Schizosaccharomyces pombe: one gene and its partners. The protein of the gene in region 1 binds, or shares a complex with, the protein of each later gene. Each region holds a gene or a part of one and is shown in the gene's direction. Other genes may lie near its edges. The genes, in order: ptr8, tfb5, tfb4 and tfb2.

The links.
Region 2: ptr8 (region 1) and tfb5 share a complex: the UniProt entries of both Schizosaccharomyces pombe proteins name them as parts of the 7-subunit TFIIH core complex.
Region 3: ptr8 (region 1) and tfb4 share a complex: the UniProt entries of both Schizosaccharomyces pombe proteins name them as parts of the 7-subunit TFIIH core complex.
Region 4: ptr8 (region 1) and tfb2 share a complex: the UniProt entries of both Schizosaccharomyces pombe proteins name them as parts of the 7-subunit TFIIH core complex.

What each region holds. Positions count from the first base shown.
Region 1 is NC_003424.3:1,759,606-1,764,849, forward strand, and holds ptr8 (transcription factor TFIIH complex ERCC-3 subunit Ptr8), read left to right. Parts: upstream 1-1,941; 5' UTR 1,942-2,181; coding exon 2,182-4,596; 3' UTR 4,597-4,714; downstream 4,715-5,244. Other genes in the region: SPOM_SPAC17A5.05C (uncharacterized protein), read right to left, coding at 23-766; SPOM_SPAC17A5.19 (uncharacterized protein), read left to right, coding at 1,528-1,626, 1,671-1,850; SUMO deconjugating cysteine peptidase Ulp2, read right to left, coding at 4,731-5,187. UniProt on the Schizosaccharomyces pombe protein: Probable ATP-dependent 3'-5' DNA helicase/translocase. Binds dsDNA rather than ssDNA, unzipping it in a translocase rather than classical helicase activity. Component of the general transcription and DNA repair factor IIH (TFIIH) core complex.
Region 2 is NC_003423.3:2,807,876-2,811,039, forward strand, and holds tfb5 (transcription factor TFIIH complex subunit Tfb5), read left to right. Parts: upstream 1-1,998; coding exon 1,999-2,205; 3' UTR 2,206-2,664; downstream 2,665-3,164. Other genes in the region: glyceraldehyde-3-phosphate dehydrogenase Tdh1, read left to right, coding at 1-772; SPOM_SPBC32F12.12C (golgi membrane protein involved in vesicle-mediated transport), read right to left, coding at 2,874-3,074. UniProt on the Schizosaccharomyces pombe protein: Component of the general transcription and DNA repair factor IIH (TFIIH) core complex, which is involved in general and transcription-coupled nucleotide excision repair (NER) of damaged DNA and, when complexed to TFIIK, in RNA transcription by RNA polymerase II.
Region 3 is NC_003423.3:1,318,506-1,322,078, reverse strand, and holds tfb4 (transcription factor TFIIH complex subunit Tfb4), read left to right. Parts: upstream 1-1,502; 5' UTR 1,503-1,585; coding exon 1,586-2,396; intron 2,397-2,458; coding exon 2,459-2,541; 3' UTR 2,542-3,009; downstream 3,010-3,573. Other genes in the region: ERMES complex subunit Mmm1, read left to right, coding at 37-127; double-strand siRNA ribonuclease Eri1, read right to left, coding at 246-545, 608-1,013, 1,075-1,182, 1,260-1,339. UniProt on the Schizosaccharomyces pombe protein: Component of the general transcription and DNA repair factor IIH (TFIIH) core complex, which is involved in general and transcription-coupled nucleotide excision repair (NER) of damaged DNA and, when complexed to TFIIK, in RNA transcription by RNA polymerase II.
Region 4 is NC_003423.3:3,751,991-3,756,264, forward strand, and holds tfb2 (transcription factor TFIIH complex subunit Tfb2), read left to right. Parts: upstream 1-1,909; 5' UTR 1,910-2,079; coding exon 2,080-2,402; intron 2,403-2,447; coding exon 2,448-3,468; 3' UTR 3,469-3,727; downstream 3,728-4,274. Other genes in the region: ESCRT III complex subunit Did2, read left to right, coding at 371-386, 427-446, 487-564, 767-913, 956-1,024, 1,080-1,151, 1,204-1,404; the13 (acyl-CoA thioesterase), read left to right, coding at 3,943-4,274. UniProt on the Schizosaccharomyces pombe protein: Component of the general transcription and DNA repair factor IIH (TFIIH) core complex, which is involved in general and transcription-coupled nucleotide excision repair (NER) of damaged DNA and, when complexed to TFIIK, in RNA transcription by RNA polymerase II.

The sequences.
Region 1 (5,244 bases):
GCCCTCCAGAAACTCATCAGATTTAACCGTCAATTAAATTTCGGCTTTTAAAAAATCGAGCATGCACCCTTTCTAAGACATAATCATGAGAGATACCATACCCCAAAGGACACCAGGTGTCTATATTCCAAGCATCCCAACCCCATTCAGGTTTCAATTCAGGTTTTTTGTGAGGACCCAAGACTAAAAGCCAGCGACATTGAACAGATAAGGCATAACAAGTAGAGAATAGTTTAGATGGTTCTGTAAGTAAATGAAGAGCAAAAGAACATATTACAAGGTCATATATGCCATCTTCAGCGCTACTTGGAGGTAGTTTTTCATCAGCAATATCCTGAAAGTTTAGCGTTAAGCATGGCTTACCAATGCGATTTGTGTAGGCTTCTAAAGTAAATGGGTCCGTAGCTATAAGCTCAAAAGGAGGTAATTCTGGTGGAATAGAACGTATAGAAATTTCTTTACGGACTTTAAAAGCTCCTCCATGTATACCCAGTTCCCTCCCTAAATGCTCCCATTCTATAACTGTTTCTGAAACTTCCCCACTTCCACATGCCAAATCTATAACATGCAATCCGTGACTTTTAAACTTTTCATCATGATCCCAAAAATGACTTAAGCACTGCAATAGCAAAAGTCGTAATCCCCGAAAATGCAAATTTCGATAAGTCCCTCCTACCTTTTTGTAATAAACATCTACGCCTTGCGCATAGTTATCTCTCATTGAGTAAGGAGCATTTCTGACTGAATGAGTAGGACGCCAACTCATTTTTAATTATGGGGTAAAGAAATAATGTATTCCAGATGTCAAATCTCTCACAGTGTTAATAAAGTAATAAATTATTTTGAATTAATTAACTGCAAATTCTAAATTTGGTATTCGTTTTTCTTTTTTTTTGTTTTTTCACGCGACGATGCAAAAAGCAAAAAAAAAATTTAAATATAATTTATCAAGATACCCAATTTGACAAGAAAATGGTGAGTTAACCGAGTTTATTCAATATGCATCACGAATTCGCACAAACGACTTGTTCTCGATATTCCACCGTCCTTACTACTTTAAGTTTTATAAGTAAAGTCGTAGAAATAGAAATGATATAAAATAAAAGGAGATATGTCAATGAAATGAACGAAAGATGAGATTTCTTATGTAGTAGGTATACTGAACTTAGTACAAACCGGATAAATTCAACTAACATGAAAATTTGACTAAAACAAATCTCGATTCACGACAGCATAAGCATACAAATCACAAATAAATAATTTTTTATTTAGTTTGTGCATTGTATGTATCTTTCGTTAGTTTTTTGGTTTCAGTTATGATTTATTGATACATCTTAACAATAAGGTTATTGTAAACACGTTTGTTGACGAAATGATTGTTTAACAGTGAAAATTTCAAATGAGTTTCGTATCATAAAGTAGATGTTCATTCGAATTAAAGAATCAAGTTTACGAATCCATTGCGCATGCTAATGTTAGCACTGGTATACACCTAACCTTTGCCTATAAGACCTTTCTTACTTAATAATGTCGCTTCGTCGAATACCGAATAAAAATCTAATACCTGAAATACCTCCCTTCCCAGAGGAGTCAATTAATCTATTACAGAATGGCGTAAATACAATTGTATGTTTGGGATGCCAATTTATATACTAATCAAGCTATTTTAGCCTCGAATAAATCTTGAAGATGTAGATGTTATGTCAACCAAATTACCCACAGATGAAGAATTAACAGAAAATTATCAAAACTGGAAAAAAAATCTTGAAGTAGAGCGTCTTGAAAAGCTTAAACGAATTGCACCAGGGTACTCTGCCTCTTCACCCTTATTACCTAGCAAAAGTGATTAATCCCAAGATAAAATTTAGATTTATTATATTTTTCGATTAAAATGATAGTATTTTGGTGGTACTAACAATCGCTTCATCTTACTAGTGATTTGCCATTAACACACACACACCCACAGGAGAACCTCCTTTTCTTTTGTGCTTATAAATTTAAAAGTGACAGCTGAAAAGTTACGAAACTTAATAATCAGTTGAGAGTTGTTGCTTTAAATTTCTTTTGATTGGCCTCGCATCTTGGTTTGTCGTTTACTGCTGCAAATTATTATTGCCATACGGCAACTCATTTTCAAAGAGTTTGAGTCATTAGCTATTTATAAACATTTCATATTAAATAATGAGCCTAAAGAGAAAAAATAATGCAAGGGAAGGGACACCTGACGAGGATTTAGAAGAATATAGCGATTACAGCGATGTTGACAATTACGGTGAAGAGGATGATGATTCTTACAAGCCTGCACCCAGGATTCGTATAAACAACAATAAAACTAAAGCACAAACCACGACTAATAGCAATGAAGCCCGCCAATCTGGGATTTCTGCTATGTTTGGCCAAAACGATTTTTCTAATTTACTAGGTTTAAAATTGGATCATACGGCTAGGCCACTTTGGATTAATCCAATTGATGGTAGAATTATCCTTGAAGCATTCAGCCCATTGGCTGAGCAAGCTATCGACTTCTTGGTAACAATTTCAGAGCCAGTTTCTCGACCCGCTTTCATTCATGAGTATAGAATTACTGCATATTCACTTTATGCTGCTGTTAGCGTTGGGTTAAAAACTGAAGATATAATAGCAGTCCTTGATAGACTTTCAAAAACCCCAATTCCTCCTTCTATCGTAGACTTTATCCGCGCTTGTACTGTCTCTTACGGTAAGGTCAAACTGGTCTTGAAGAAAAACAGATATTTTATTGAAAGTGGAGATGCAAGTGTTTTACGACTGTTATTAAGAGATCCTGTCATAGGCCCTCTTCGAATCGATTATTCTACCCAGTCTAGCAAGCAGAAGTCTTCAAAGCCTTCCAATGAAGATAATGTGGAAGACAAAAAAGATATCACCAATGATTCCTCAAAAGAAACTGCTGAGAAAAGTTCATCTGATGAACTGTTTTCGGCAGTAGTAGGCTTACAGGAAGAGGAAGATGATGAAGATGCCGTTCATCTTTTCGAAATTAAGCACTCTTCAGTGGAAACTATCAAGAAGAGATGTGCAGAGATTGATTATCCCTTATTGGAAGAGTACGATTTTCGTAATGACAACATCAATCCAGATCTTCCTATAGACCTTAAGCCAAGCACTCAAATTCGTCCATACCAAGAAAAGAGTCTTAGTAAAATGTTTGGAAATGGTAGAGCTCGAAGTGGAATTATTGTATTACCATGTGGAGCTGGTAAAACCTTGGTTGGTATCACAGCGGCTTGTACTATCAAAAAATCAGTAATCGTGCTTTGCACCAGTTCTGTTTCGGTAATGCAATGGCGTCAACAATTTTTACAGTGGAGCAACATCAAGCCTGATCACATTGCGGTTTTTACTGCTGATCACAAAGAACGGTTTCACAGCGAAGCAGGTGTGGTTGTCTCCACGTACTCAATGGTTGCCAATACCAGGAATAGATCCTATGATTCTCAAAAAATGATGGATTTTCTTACGGGACGTGAATGGGGGTTTATCCTATTAGACGAAGTACATGTGGTTCCTGCTGCCATGTTTCGGCGAGTTGTCACCACAATTGCCGCTCACACAAAGCTTGGGTTAACTGCTACGTTAGTTCGTGAGGATGATAAAATTGATGATTTAAATTTTTTGATTGGGCCTAAAATGTACGAAGCAAATTGGATGGATTTGGCACAAAAAGGTCACATCGCTAAGGTTCAATGCGCCGAAGTTTGGTGCGCGATGACCACTGAGTTTTATAATGAATATCTTCGAGAAAACTCCCGAAAAAGAATGCTACTTTATATCATGAATCCTAAAAAATTTCAGGCTTGTCAATTCCTCATCGATTATCACGAAAAACGTGGTGATAAAATTATCGTTTTTTCAGACAATGTCTATGCTTTGCGTGCTTATGCAATAAAATTAGGCAAATATTTTATTTATGGTGGAACTCCACAGCAGGAAAGAATGAGGATTTTGGAAAATTTCCAGTATAATGAACTTGTAAATACCATTTTCCTTTCTAAAGTTGGTGATACGTCTATTGATCTTCCTGAAGCAACCTGTTTGATTCAGATTTCTTCTCATTATGGTTCTAGGCGTCAAGAAGCTCAACGTTTGGGGCGTATTCTTCGTGCCAAGCGACGAAATGATGAAGGCTTTAACGCATTTTTCTATAGCTTGGTATCTAAAGACACTCAGGAAATGTATTATTCCAGTAAACGGCAAGCATTTTTAATTGACCAAGGCTATGCTTTTAAAGTCATCACTAATTTAAAGGGTATGGAGAACTTGCCAAATTTGGCTTACGCCTCCAAAGCGGAGAGACTTGAGCTTTTGCAGGAAGTATTGCTACAAAATGAAGAAGCAGCTGATTTGGATGACGGTGAGGATACTAGCTTTGGATCCAGAAGTCTCTCTAGAGCACCGGCGAAAGCTAAACGTTCTAGTGGTTCTTTAAGTACATTGGCTGGTGCCGACAATATGGCATACGTGGAATATAACAAGAGTGCTAATAAACAGCTGAAAAAGGACAGTAAAGAACATCATGCCTTATTTCGGAAGCACCTGTATACTAAACGTCGCTAGCGAAGTTATACATGCTAGCATACACACGATATAGACATGAATTTTGTTGATTTTTCTACGCTAAAATTTTTGATAATAATGCTTTCGTTAAGTTTTAATATGAAATTATGATTTCCCTAATTCCCTTGTAAATTCTAATTTGTGATTGGCAATATTGCCAAATCATCATCATTTTCTTTATCTTCTTCATCGTTGCTTCCGCTGCTAAGCGATTGTCGTTCATTGTTAGACGACCACTCAGTTGACAGACGGCGAATTAAACCCTTCAAATCGCATCTCATCGTGTTAATCTTTTGAAGGTTCCACTGTTGGTCGAAGTTTTTAGCATCCGTCCGTCTAAGAGATTTATCTAAAGTATTGGCTATCACTTGCTCAGGAGTTTCAAGAAATAGTTCGACGAAATGTAACGCATATATACCACAATCAGAAAAATTGCTTTGTTGCGGGACTTTTGCATGAAACCCCCGTATATCAGTGGACTTAAGATGTACATTTTTCCTTTCGAAAGCTTCTTCCAGTAAATATTCACGTAAGTAATTTAATGCTCCTTTATGAAGATTTGCTAAAGAATCAAAAATCAAAATTGCTGGACTATAATTAACTTAGTAAACTGAATCAAATGATTTATGATATATTTTTCCTTTTAAT
Region 2 (3,164 bases), on another chromosome or scaffold:
TGACCCCGCCGACATCAAGTGGTCTACCTCTGGTGCTGACTACGTTATCGAGTCCACCGGTGTCTTCACCACTCAAGAGACTGCCTCTGCTCACTTGAAGGGTGGTGCCAAGCGTGTCATCATCTCTGCTCCTTCCAAGGACGCCCCCATGTACGTTGTCGGTGTCAACGAGGAGAAGTTCAACCCCTCTGAGAAGGTTATCTCCAACGCTTCTTGCACCACCAACTGTTTGGCTCCCCTTGCCAAGGTCATCAACGACACCTTCGGTATCGAGGAGGGTCTCATGACCACTGTCCACGCTACCACTGCCACCCAAAAGACCGTTGACGGTCCCTCCAAGAAGGACTGGCGTGGTGGTCGTGGCGCCAGCGCCAACATCATCCCCTCCTCCACTGGTGCCGCCAAGGCCGTCGGTAAGGTTATTCCCGCTCTTAACGGTAAGCTTACCGGTATGGCTTTCCGTGTCCCTACCCCCGATGTTTCCGTTGTTGACTTGACCGTCAAGTTGGCCAAGCCTACCAACTACGAGGACATCAAGGCCGCCATCAAGGCTGCCTCTGAGGGCCCCATGAAGGGTGTGTTGGGTTACACCGAGGACGCTGTTGTCTCCACTGACTTCTGCGGTGACAACCACTCCTCCATCTTCGATGCCTCTGCCGGTATCCAACTTTCTCCTCAATTCGTCAAGCTCGTCTCTTGGTACGATAACGAATGGGGTTACTCCCGCCGTGTCGTTGACTTGGTTGCCTACACTGCCGCCAAGGACAACTAACTAGCTAATCATCCCGATGCTAAGAAACGTCGGGTGGGTGCTTAAAGGCAATGCAGGAAAGTCTTTTGGAGTTGTTTTCCCCGTTTTTTCTTTATGTTAGACAAAGGAGTCGTTGTCGTTTGCAGTGCGGGAGTTTTCTTTTTTAGATTTTCGCATTTTTTTTGTGGACGCGCACTCTATGTGAATAAATAGATGGATGACTTTTTTACAAATTTCCTCTGTTCTTTGATACCCTCCTTCTCATTCATTGTTGCATATATTTTTTTTAATTTTGTTGCAGTGATGAGATGGCTGAGCGTTTGTTTTTGAACTTATAAATACTTATAAATAAATTTTATGATTTTGATAAATACTTTTTTTCGTTTTGGTTTGTGATACGTATAGTTTGCCTGTCTCCTTTTGTAAATGATCTTCTTTTGTAGTCTTGTGTAATCTCTTTTTCATTTGGTCAACTTAAGTGAATTTTTTTTTGTCAGTTTCCTTGTAGGATATTATGTCAAAGTCTTATTTATACTATATATTATTGCTTTGGTGGTGAGTCGCATTTGTGGGGACGGTGTTACTTTACTGATGGATTTAGGTAGGAGGCATCCACTGTCCCCCATTTCGCTAGCTTAAGTTTAATATGAAGATGCACTTAAGCATGAACGCCCGTTTTGATCTTTTTCACTTGTACCGCGAAGAGCTTGTTTTACTGTTTTTCCGTCTGCATCCCGAGAACTAGTTGATCTCCCAATGCACACTTTAGACTTTATTCAAACCGAAGTCGGTTTTGTAATTTAAAAATTTTTACCCACTGTAAAGTACAAACAATTCATCGCTATGTTAGTTGTGTACGCTACTAGCGCATCACATGATTACATGTTAATCAACAAAAACGAAAATGTTTATTGTCAATCTAAAAATACATATGTCCGTTAAGACAAAAGTATGAGGCTGGATGGAATGAGCAATGGTAGCAAAAGGTTTCCGAAATGGTCATATCATTTTTTCAATTTTTGCTGATCTCAAATACCTCAACTTGTTTTATTCATATAAATAATTTGTTTTTGCATATAATCATAATAATCAAATTCATTACCATCTTTAACACAACAAACTTGCATGATATTTATTCTTGTTTGCTCTTACATTCGGCATCCAACGATCATGGGTAACTTGATACCTGTGGCTTAAGGAGCTTGTAGCATGCCATGATTCTGCTGGCAGACACCAAATTTGAGGCAATGCCACGCGCACAAAAAGGCTTACTCTTGGTTGAATGTGACCCAACCGTTAAGCAATTGATTTTGAACATGGACGAACAGTCTCCTGGTATCGTTATCGAAGAGATCGATGAAGAACGATTGTTAGTAAATGAAAGTCGACTAGAACAGGTGAAAGCAGAGTTAGAACGACGCCTTGAGGAAAATACATATCAAGTTGAAGAGTAAGAAGAGATTAGTATGACGAAAGTTTTCTTTGGATGATGAACTGAATGTTTCAGTCGATGGACGAACCTAATATTGTACGATTAATGGATCATTCAATGTCAACGATCTATGATCATTTTCTCAATTTTAAATTGTAAAAAAATTTTAAAATAATGCAAAAAAGAAATTAATTCTACCTTTTATTTGGATATGGGTGAAAAGGTTGGTTTATTTTTTAATGACTTGACGTTTGTGTCAAATTACATAACAGTACCCAAAACTCGTGTACCGATGGGCAAAAATTATGAAAGGAGCCAGCTGATTTTGTATTTTTTGAAAATAAGTTTTGAATATATTGTTAACTACGCCGAGCTATTCAGTAGTTGCTTGCAAGTCTTTATTTAATTTTTAGTATTGAATGAAAGTTTATACTATTTGAATATACTATACTATCTATATAATTAATATGTATAATAAGAGAAATGTTCTTCTTTGTCTAACGATATTTTTATGCATTCCTAATTGAAACTTGGTGGTGTTTCTAGAAAGATAGTTCAGTTCATACGCGTGATAACTTTTTCAACACCGGGAACTGGAAGAACATACAACAAGGAAAAGGCATAGTTTCATGCTTGTCCTATAAACAAATGAACAAGGAAAAAGATCAATAAAGATCAATTTTGCATATTCTAAACCATAGTGCTGGGAGGTGTTTCGGTCGTGATACCTGTTCCACCAAGCGTGGAACTTGAAGTAAAAGCCTGACCTTTAATACCGGCAAAGGTGTAACATAAACCAGTAAGAGCGAGCACAATGCCGGTGGCAATAAGACTAGTAGCCATAAAGATGCAACTGAGAAAGGTTACCACGGAAAATATAAAATAGACAAGCTAAAAGAGTTAATAAACACTGTATGTAAAAGACAGCAGGAAGGCAACAAAGGAATTAAAAATATCCAGAGGCATGCTTTTTCCCCTGTG
Region 3 (3,573 bases), on another chromosome or scaffold:
GAGTATGAATTGATTCATACTAACTAATTCCCACAGGATCGCAATTCCCAACCTATGGCCAACCTCTGCAAAAGAAGGACATGCGAGGTCCCATGCACCTCAAGAGGAGTCATCTAATGAAGATTAAACATTCTTTTGACGTAATTTTCGGAAATTTTTTTTATCTATGAATTTTAACGATAATTTATCTCTACCAGATTCCACGAAATATATTGATTATGAAGTCGAAATAAAAATTTTAAGCATTAGCTTGCGAAATATGGCGGGTAACTTCGATTCGGAATCCAGCCGTTCTTCTCATATTCCATCCACCACCTATTGCATTCGAATTCTACGTTTTCCGAACACATTTTTTTAACAATTCGTGATAAATTCCTCGCATCATCTATTCCGCGATGCTCGCTTCCCTCAAACTGAAGACCCCAATGCTCTAGCATTCCATTAATATTTGTGCGTGGAACGCGATAAACGTCTTTATAGAAAGACCTAATATCTACGAATGGTCCTTTGATCCAGTCAGGAATTGGCATTTTATCATATTTGAACTGATAATACGATTTGTTAGCGAAATGTGAGACAAACCGAACAAAATTATATTAACACTTACTTGTTTGGCTAAAAAGGACGCCATATCCCAAGGACCATCACAAGCCCAGGCCCAATTTTTGGGCTGTGTTCTGGGTACGGACTTTAAGGGTTCTATAATCTCAATTTCATCAACTGAGGGAACTAAAATATTGGAATGTTTCCGCAAGAATATGAATAGTTCTTCCAAGACATCTGAGAAGATAGGCGCTTTATCAACAGTGCATTGTTGAATTCCTGTCAGTGATTTACAATAGTCAGACAAAGTAGGATTCATGGATGGGCGAACGTAAGAATGAAATTCGTCGATTATGGATTTTTCTATTAAATCGAATAGAAGACATGGTAATTCTATGATCTCGTTTTCGAAGCTAAATCCGCAACCTTCTTCACATGTAGCTTCGACGTCCACAATTAGCAAGTATCGTCTACAAGTATTCAGTTACTGTTAGATAGAAAATGTTTAAACAATTGATGATTTAACCCTACAAACAAGTTTTGTTTTCATTACTAGTAGAAAACTTTTGATAACGTTCTTGTTTTCGTTTTTCTTCAAGACGTTTTTCACGAAATTTCCATCGCCGTTTCAGTTTTTCTCTTTATACTGTGTAAATAATTAATTTATATAAACTCTGAGAAAACGGACTAATTGCTTCTCAATTTCAGTAACATACTTGTTTCCATTCGTACTCAACCCAAGTTCTTGTAGTGCTATACGAATTTCTTCTACCGTAGACGGTGTTTTTTGGTTCATCTCGTCACATGGAAAAGGCCAAACTAAAATCTGCACTGGCGACTCCATAAATTTTTTATATTTTTGGAATTACTTTACCTTTTATTTCATTAGATAAACCATTTCATTATAATGGAATATAAATGTTTTTGAAATAACACTGTTTTGTTGGCAATCTTTTTTTGAACCCTACACTTTTTCTGGGTTGTTGTCTACCTGTATTAAAGTTGGGAAAGCATTGAGAAAAAACACATTATAAAAAGAGGGATGGATGAATTTCAAACTTTGAAACAAAATGCCTCGTGGGATATATCTGAAGACGCAAATGATACACCCAGTTTGCTTGTAGTTATATTAGACGCAAATCCTGCCTCATGGTACTCCCTTTCCAAAAAAGTGCCTGTTTCCAAGGTACTGGCAGATATTACGGTTTTTCTAAACGCACACTTAGCTTTTCATCATGATAATAGAGTTGCTGTGTTAGCTTCACACTCGGACAAGGTTGAATACCTATACCCTTCGATTGCACCTGAGCAAAAAGTCGCAGAAGTAGATCCTACCAAGGAGGCAAATACGTATCGAAAGTTTCGTGAGGTAGACGACTTAGTTTTATCTGGGATGAAGCGACTCATGAGTTCGACTGATAAAGTTTCAAGAAAAACGATGATTTCCGGAGCACTATCTAGAGCCCTTGCATATATCAATCAAGTTCAAAATAAAAATACTCTTCGTTCTCGAATTCTAATTTTCTCATTAACTGGTGATGTTGCTCTTCAGTATATTCCTACTATGAATTGTATATTTTGTGCTCAAAAGAAAAATATTCCAATTAACGTTTGCAACATTGAGGGAGGCACCCTGTTTTTAGAACAAGCAGCAGATGCCACAGGAGGGATTTACTTAAAAGTTGACAACCCCAAAGGCTTACTACAATATCTCATGATGTCGCTTTTTCCGGATCAAAATCTTCGAAAACACTTAAATACCCCAAACCAAGCGAATGTTGATTTTCGAGCTACATGTTTTTGCCACAAAAAGGTTTTGGATATTGGCTTTGTTTGCTCAGTTTGTCTATCAAGTAAGTAGTAACAAAGCTTTACGATAGGCTTTGAACATTTGACCTTTTGCTAACCTCTTTAGTATTTTGTGAACCACGGGTGCATTGTTCTACTTGTCATACCAAATTCACGGTAGAACCTATGTCAAAAAAATTGCACACTTGATAATTCGTTATATTATTATTAAACTATATATTTCTTTGTCTCACACCGGGTGTACAGCTTTATCATATTTGAAACCCTGTTTTTCATTACCTAAATCTCCTTATCCTGGTGATTTGTACAGTCTAGCTCTTTTTTTTTGGCGATTTTTACTTTCTGGCATTTTGATACACTTGAAATGTTAACATTTTTCGGAAGGATCAAACTATTTCCTTAAGGGGCATCCACAAGTAGAAACTTAACGTATAAGCAACTAATTCATTCCAACGTACCCTATTATTATTTATTTCCTTAGAGCTTCTTCTATTATTTCTTCAAGTTGCATTGGCTTCTTTCTTTTCCAAACAGTGCAGTAAGACGAAATTATATACTATTCTTTAATTAATTTACTAACGAATCATTAATGTTGAAGATGCTGACAGAAATTATTTCACAGGAACTTTCCTTTCTACTGTTTATAATCTATTGCATCTCTAATGTTGGTGCTTGATCATTTTAACAATGGCTTTTTTTAAGCTTTTTTAATCAGAAAAGTTATATTACATTGAGATCTATATGAATGCAATTTATAATGAATTGGTTTGATTATTGTAGTAAGGTTACGAATCTTGGTTTTTACATGTAACTCAACCTCTGAATTTCTGTACTGAGCAATAAAAGCGCGGATTGATAATTCATACTAATAGAGCCGGTTTACTTTTATTTGCCCGAATATTCTCAAACTCACAAGTGACGACAAGCTTGAAAAAAAAAAAGTATTTTCTTAAATTCGTTTATTCTGCAATCAGATATTCATAGTTTTTAAAAAAGGAAAAATAATAAAAAGGTTGTAATATATTTGTTCTAAATCTTCAGATTTCAGACGTAAATTAGTCTGATTAACCTTAGGAGCATTACAACCATTGCCTAATCTGTTGATAGATTCAATTACAAACTTCTGACATCCTGAATGTCTATTTTCCACTAATTTTAGAATTTTTGATTGACTGTGCTTTTTAACAGCTCTTTCCCGACTATATAGCGTTTTATTTCAGC
Region 4 (4,274 bases), on another chromosome or scaffold:
ACTAAGTTAAACTTCCTCATGTGTTATCAATCCATTTTTATGCTGACAGATCGTCTTCTACAAAAAAACTGGCAACAATAAACTGGGAGGTTATTGAATTTTTAAACATCGAGCCACTAATTATTTATCTTTTGAAAGTCTTATTTTTTATAATCTGCTAATTATATTCTTTTGTTTATGGTGTTTACGCTATCATAAACTAAGATACTGTCAATTTTAGACCCCACTATCTTCCTTAGTGAAGTTGTTTAATTTTGTTAAAATGCATTACGAGTAATGTATTAAGAAGTTCTAAAAATCATCAGCCTTACTAGCAGACGCTCAATCAATAGAATTAGCATTATACAGCTAGCTTACCTTTACAAACAAAATGAGCAATTTAGAGGGTAAGTAAGTAATTTTTTTGATAATTGATTAACCTGAAAGCATCTCTGTTTCAATTAAAGGTATTTTCTTAATTGAAGTTTGTTTTTAACAATGCGTTAGTTTGCTGCAAAGTCGCTGAATAAACAATCACTTAAAGCTGCGAAAGAGGAGCGTGCTGAACGGGAAAAAGTGAAAAAGGTTTGTTTGTTGTAATGATTGCTATTTCCAAGCATGTCACTATCAATGAATTTTTTTACAGCTCATCTATCAATTGCTATTGTAATTCTTGGTGGTTTTGCAGAGTCTTGGTTTTGTCGATTATTCCATCTTCATATGATTTGCTAGATAAAAATTTTTTTTTACTTTTTGGCGTTATTCATTACTAACTGTTATTACCTAGGCTATCACAAAAGGCAACTCAGAAATTGCCCGCATATATGCATCGAATGCAATTCGGAAGCAGCAAGAATCCCTTAATTTGCTCAAACTTTCTTCAAGAATAGATGCGGTTTCAAGTCGTTTACAGACTGCTGTAACTATGCGTGCTGTATGTTAGCAATTTAACGTGGCATACTTATTGACTATTTAGGTGTCGGGAAATATGGCAGGTGTCGTTCGGGGAATGGACAGAGCTATGAAAACAATGAATTTGGAGATGGTGAGTTCCTAATTCTCGTAGAATGAGTTTTTTTTCAAATGTTTCTGACCCACAGATTTCACAAGTCATGGATAAATTTGAAGCGCAATTCGATGATGTTAATGTTCAAACGGGTTATATGAATAAGGTAAGTTTCCTTGATTAATCATATTTCAAGACTAGAACTAACACTATATAAGGCTATGGGATCAGTGACTGCTGTCGATACACCCCAAGAAGATGTAGATTTATTAATGCAAACGGTAGCTGATGAAGCTGGTTTGGAATTTAACCAGAATATGAACAATAATCTTTCGGTTCCTGCTGCCAGTGTTCCTACTCCCGCCGCTCCTGTAGAAGATGACAACTTACAAGAACGTTTACGTGCTTTAAGGTCTTGATGTATAATTCCAGTCCAAATAACAAAATTTTTTTGCTGCATAAATGAAAGAGTTTAATTACGCACAATTTATTCAGCTGATACGGAAGAAGTTAATTAGATGATTAAGGATTTATATGTTTTTCACTGATATTTGAAAAACAAATTATTTTTCTCTCGAGGGTCATTTATCCCGCGGTTTATTTCAACCAAGCATGCATCTCTAATGGTCTAAATAAGTAATAGTACAGTAAATATTTAACGTAACTGTAAATATTCAGAACATTTAAAACAAATCTTTTTTTTTTTAAAACTGACTTTATTTAAAACTTAAGTATGAATGATTGTTTATATGTTTTTATCTAATCACGACAATTCGCAACTTGGGCATAAAAGTTTGAATTGTAATAAATATGTACACAGGTTAATGTAATTATCAGCAAAAAAAAATTGTTATTGTCATTGTCGGAAGCTTTGGCTTGTTATTCTAGCCTATTTAATACCAGTAATTCGACTCGCTCTTGATCACCATCCACCTTCGGTCTCGCGATGATTGCTTATCTGGCATTTATGGAAGATTGATAATCGTAAATAAGTTTATTAGTTGAGTACACTGGATTTTGTTCTATTCAGCTGAATAAAGAGAGATTACAACCGCCAATTTAAACCTTTTGAAGTAGGTTCGCAAATTGTCACCATGCAAGCAGAATTCAAGTCTAGTATCAACGACTTCCTGGAACAGTTACCAAATCATGCAAGGCTTTACCAAAAGCCAGCTGCTTGTCTTGCTGTGTTTCGTTTATTGCCAATTCTAGCTAGACAGTATGTCATGTCTATGCTTTTCAATCCTATGCCAGTAGCACTCTCAGATTTCGATTTATGGATCAAACTTTCGAGTAAAGTTTATCAATCTGAATCCTTCAACAAACTGGTTAGGATGCATATATTTCAATTTGATGGACAATATATCACTCTAAATAGTGAATTTCGCAAACAATTTATAACTGCTCTGACTGGAGGGTAAGTTTTATTGAATTTTGAGTATAAACTAATTAAGCTTTTTAGAGGAAATCACAATTCGTTTGGCGTGCCATGTACCGATGAAGACAAGCACTTGGTGACGGTTGATTTTCTTGACGCATATGCGAAAGAAACTTGGGAAACAATCTTGCACTTCATGGTAGGAACTCCGGAAGCTAAATTTCCTGGAGAAGGTGTCTTAAGTCTATTAAAGCGGGGCGGTTTAATGTCTGGTCCAAAAAACCAGCTACGTATTACCCGTGCCGGTTTTCAGTTTCTGTTACAGGATATAAATGCTCAAATTTGGACGTTACTTTTGGATTATTTAAAACTATCTGAAGACACGCATATGGATCCTGTTCAGGTTTTGCACTTTTTATTTATGCTTGGAAGTTTGGATTTGGGGAGGGCATACTCAGTGGACTTCTTAACAGATACACAACAAATCATGCTTGAAGACCTAAGAGAATATGGATTAGTTTATCAAAGAAAAATTACTTCCAAGCGTTTCTATCCAACCAGACTGGCAACAGGTCTGACAACTGATTATCGCTCATTGCATGGAAAGCAAAGTGAAAATGATGATGATAAAGGTTTTATTATTGTAGAAACAAATTACCGATTATATGCTTACACAAGCTCCCCATTACAGATTGCCATCATCGGATTGTTTGCTAACTTAAGGGCGCGTTTTTCAAATCTTGTTGTCGGTGTGATAACTCGGGATAGTATTCGTCGTGCTTTGATGAATGGAATTGCAGCGGAGCAAATTATTACATACTTGACAACTCATGCTCACCCTCAGATGAGATCGAATGTTCCTCTTTTACCTCCTACATTAGTAGATCAAATTTATTTATGGGAATTGGAAAAAAATAGACTTCGGGCTACTCCTGGAATTTTGTTTCGCGATTTTCTTACTGATTCTGGCTTCGACCAAGCAGTAGAGTACGCAAAAGAACTCGGGGTTTTGGTTTGGGACAGTTCCTTGAAAAGAATGTTTTTCATAACTACGACAGGCGCCCAGCCCATGATCGCATACTTGAAAAGACGAGCTGTCAAATGAATATTTTTTGGATGGTTCAAAAGAGAAGTGGTAATTAGAAAATATTAAATTAATCTCAAATCACTTGTAAGTAATTTACTGGTGTCAATAAACATATATATAACATAAGCTCAACATTAGCCATGTTAACTATACGCGTGTTGGATATTTATACGAAATTCAAGTTTTAATGATGCAACTCTTTAACGTTCAAATTATGAATTTCTTCTTCTCGTCATTAGAAAAAAAAAATATCCGTTATTTGAATAATCCAAACAATATTCATATTCTTGTATTTAATGTTCATTTAATTATATTACCATTTGTAATAATGATTTGGTGATATTACTATAGGCAGGCAAATGGCTTGTAAATCCTTACTAACTACAAGTATCGCTGCTGCGAGTAGCCAAGAACTGCCACAACATAACCAATTCACCTGAGGTACTTACTTTTACAGTGATTGATACCTGTTAAACGAAGTTTTAAGACACAATGGCAATTAATAGCTCTGGTACTAAGGTGCTTTCTTTCGTTCGTTCTGTTTGGCAGGATTTTGTAAATACCAATGGGTTTGATGCTCATGTAGTCAGTGATATACAAATTATAAGTGCAGTTCCAGGATTTGTAGAATGCTCTCTGAAACTGCAGAAGCATCACCTAAATCGTATGGGTAATTTGCATGGCGGTTGTATTGCAGCACTCACTGATTTGGGAGGAAGTTTAGCATTGGCCAGTCGAGGGCTTTTTATTTCTGGCGTGTCAATAGATATGAATCAAACTTTTTTACAAAGTGGTGGTACTTTAGGTTCATCAATTTTACTGCA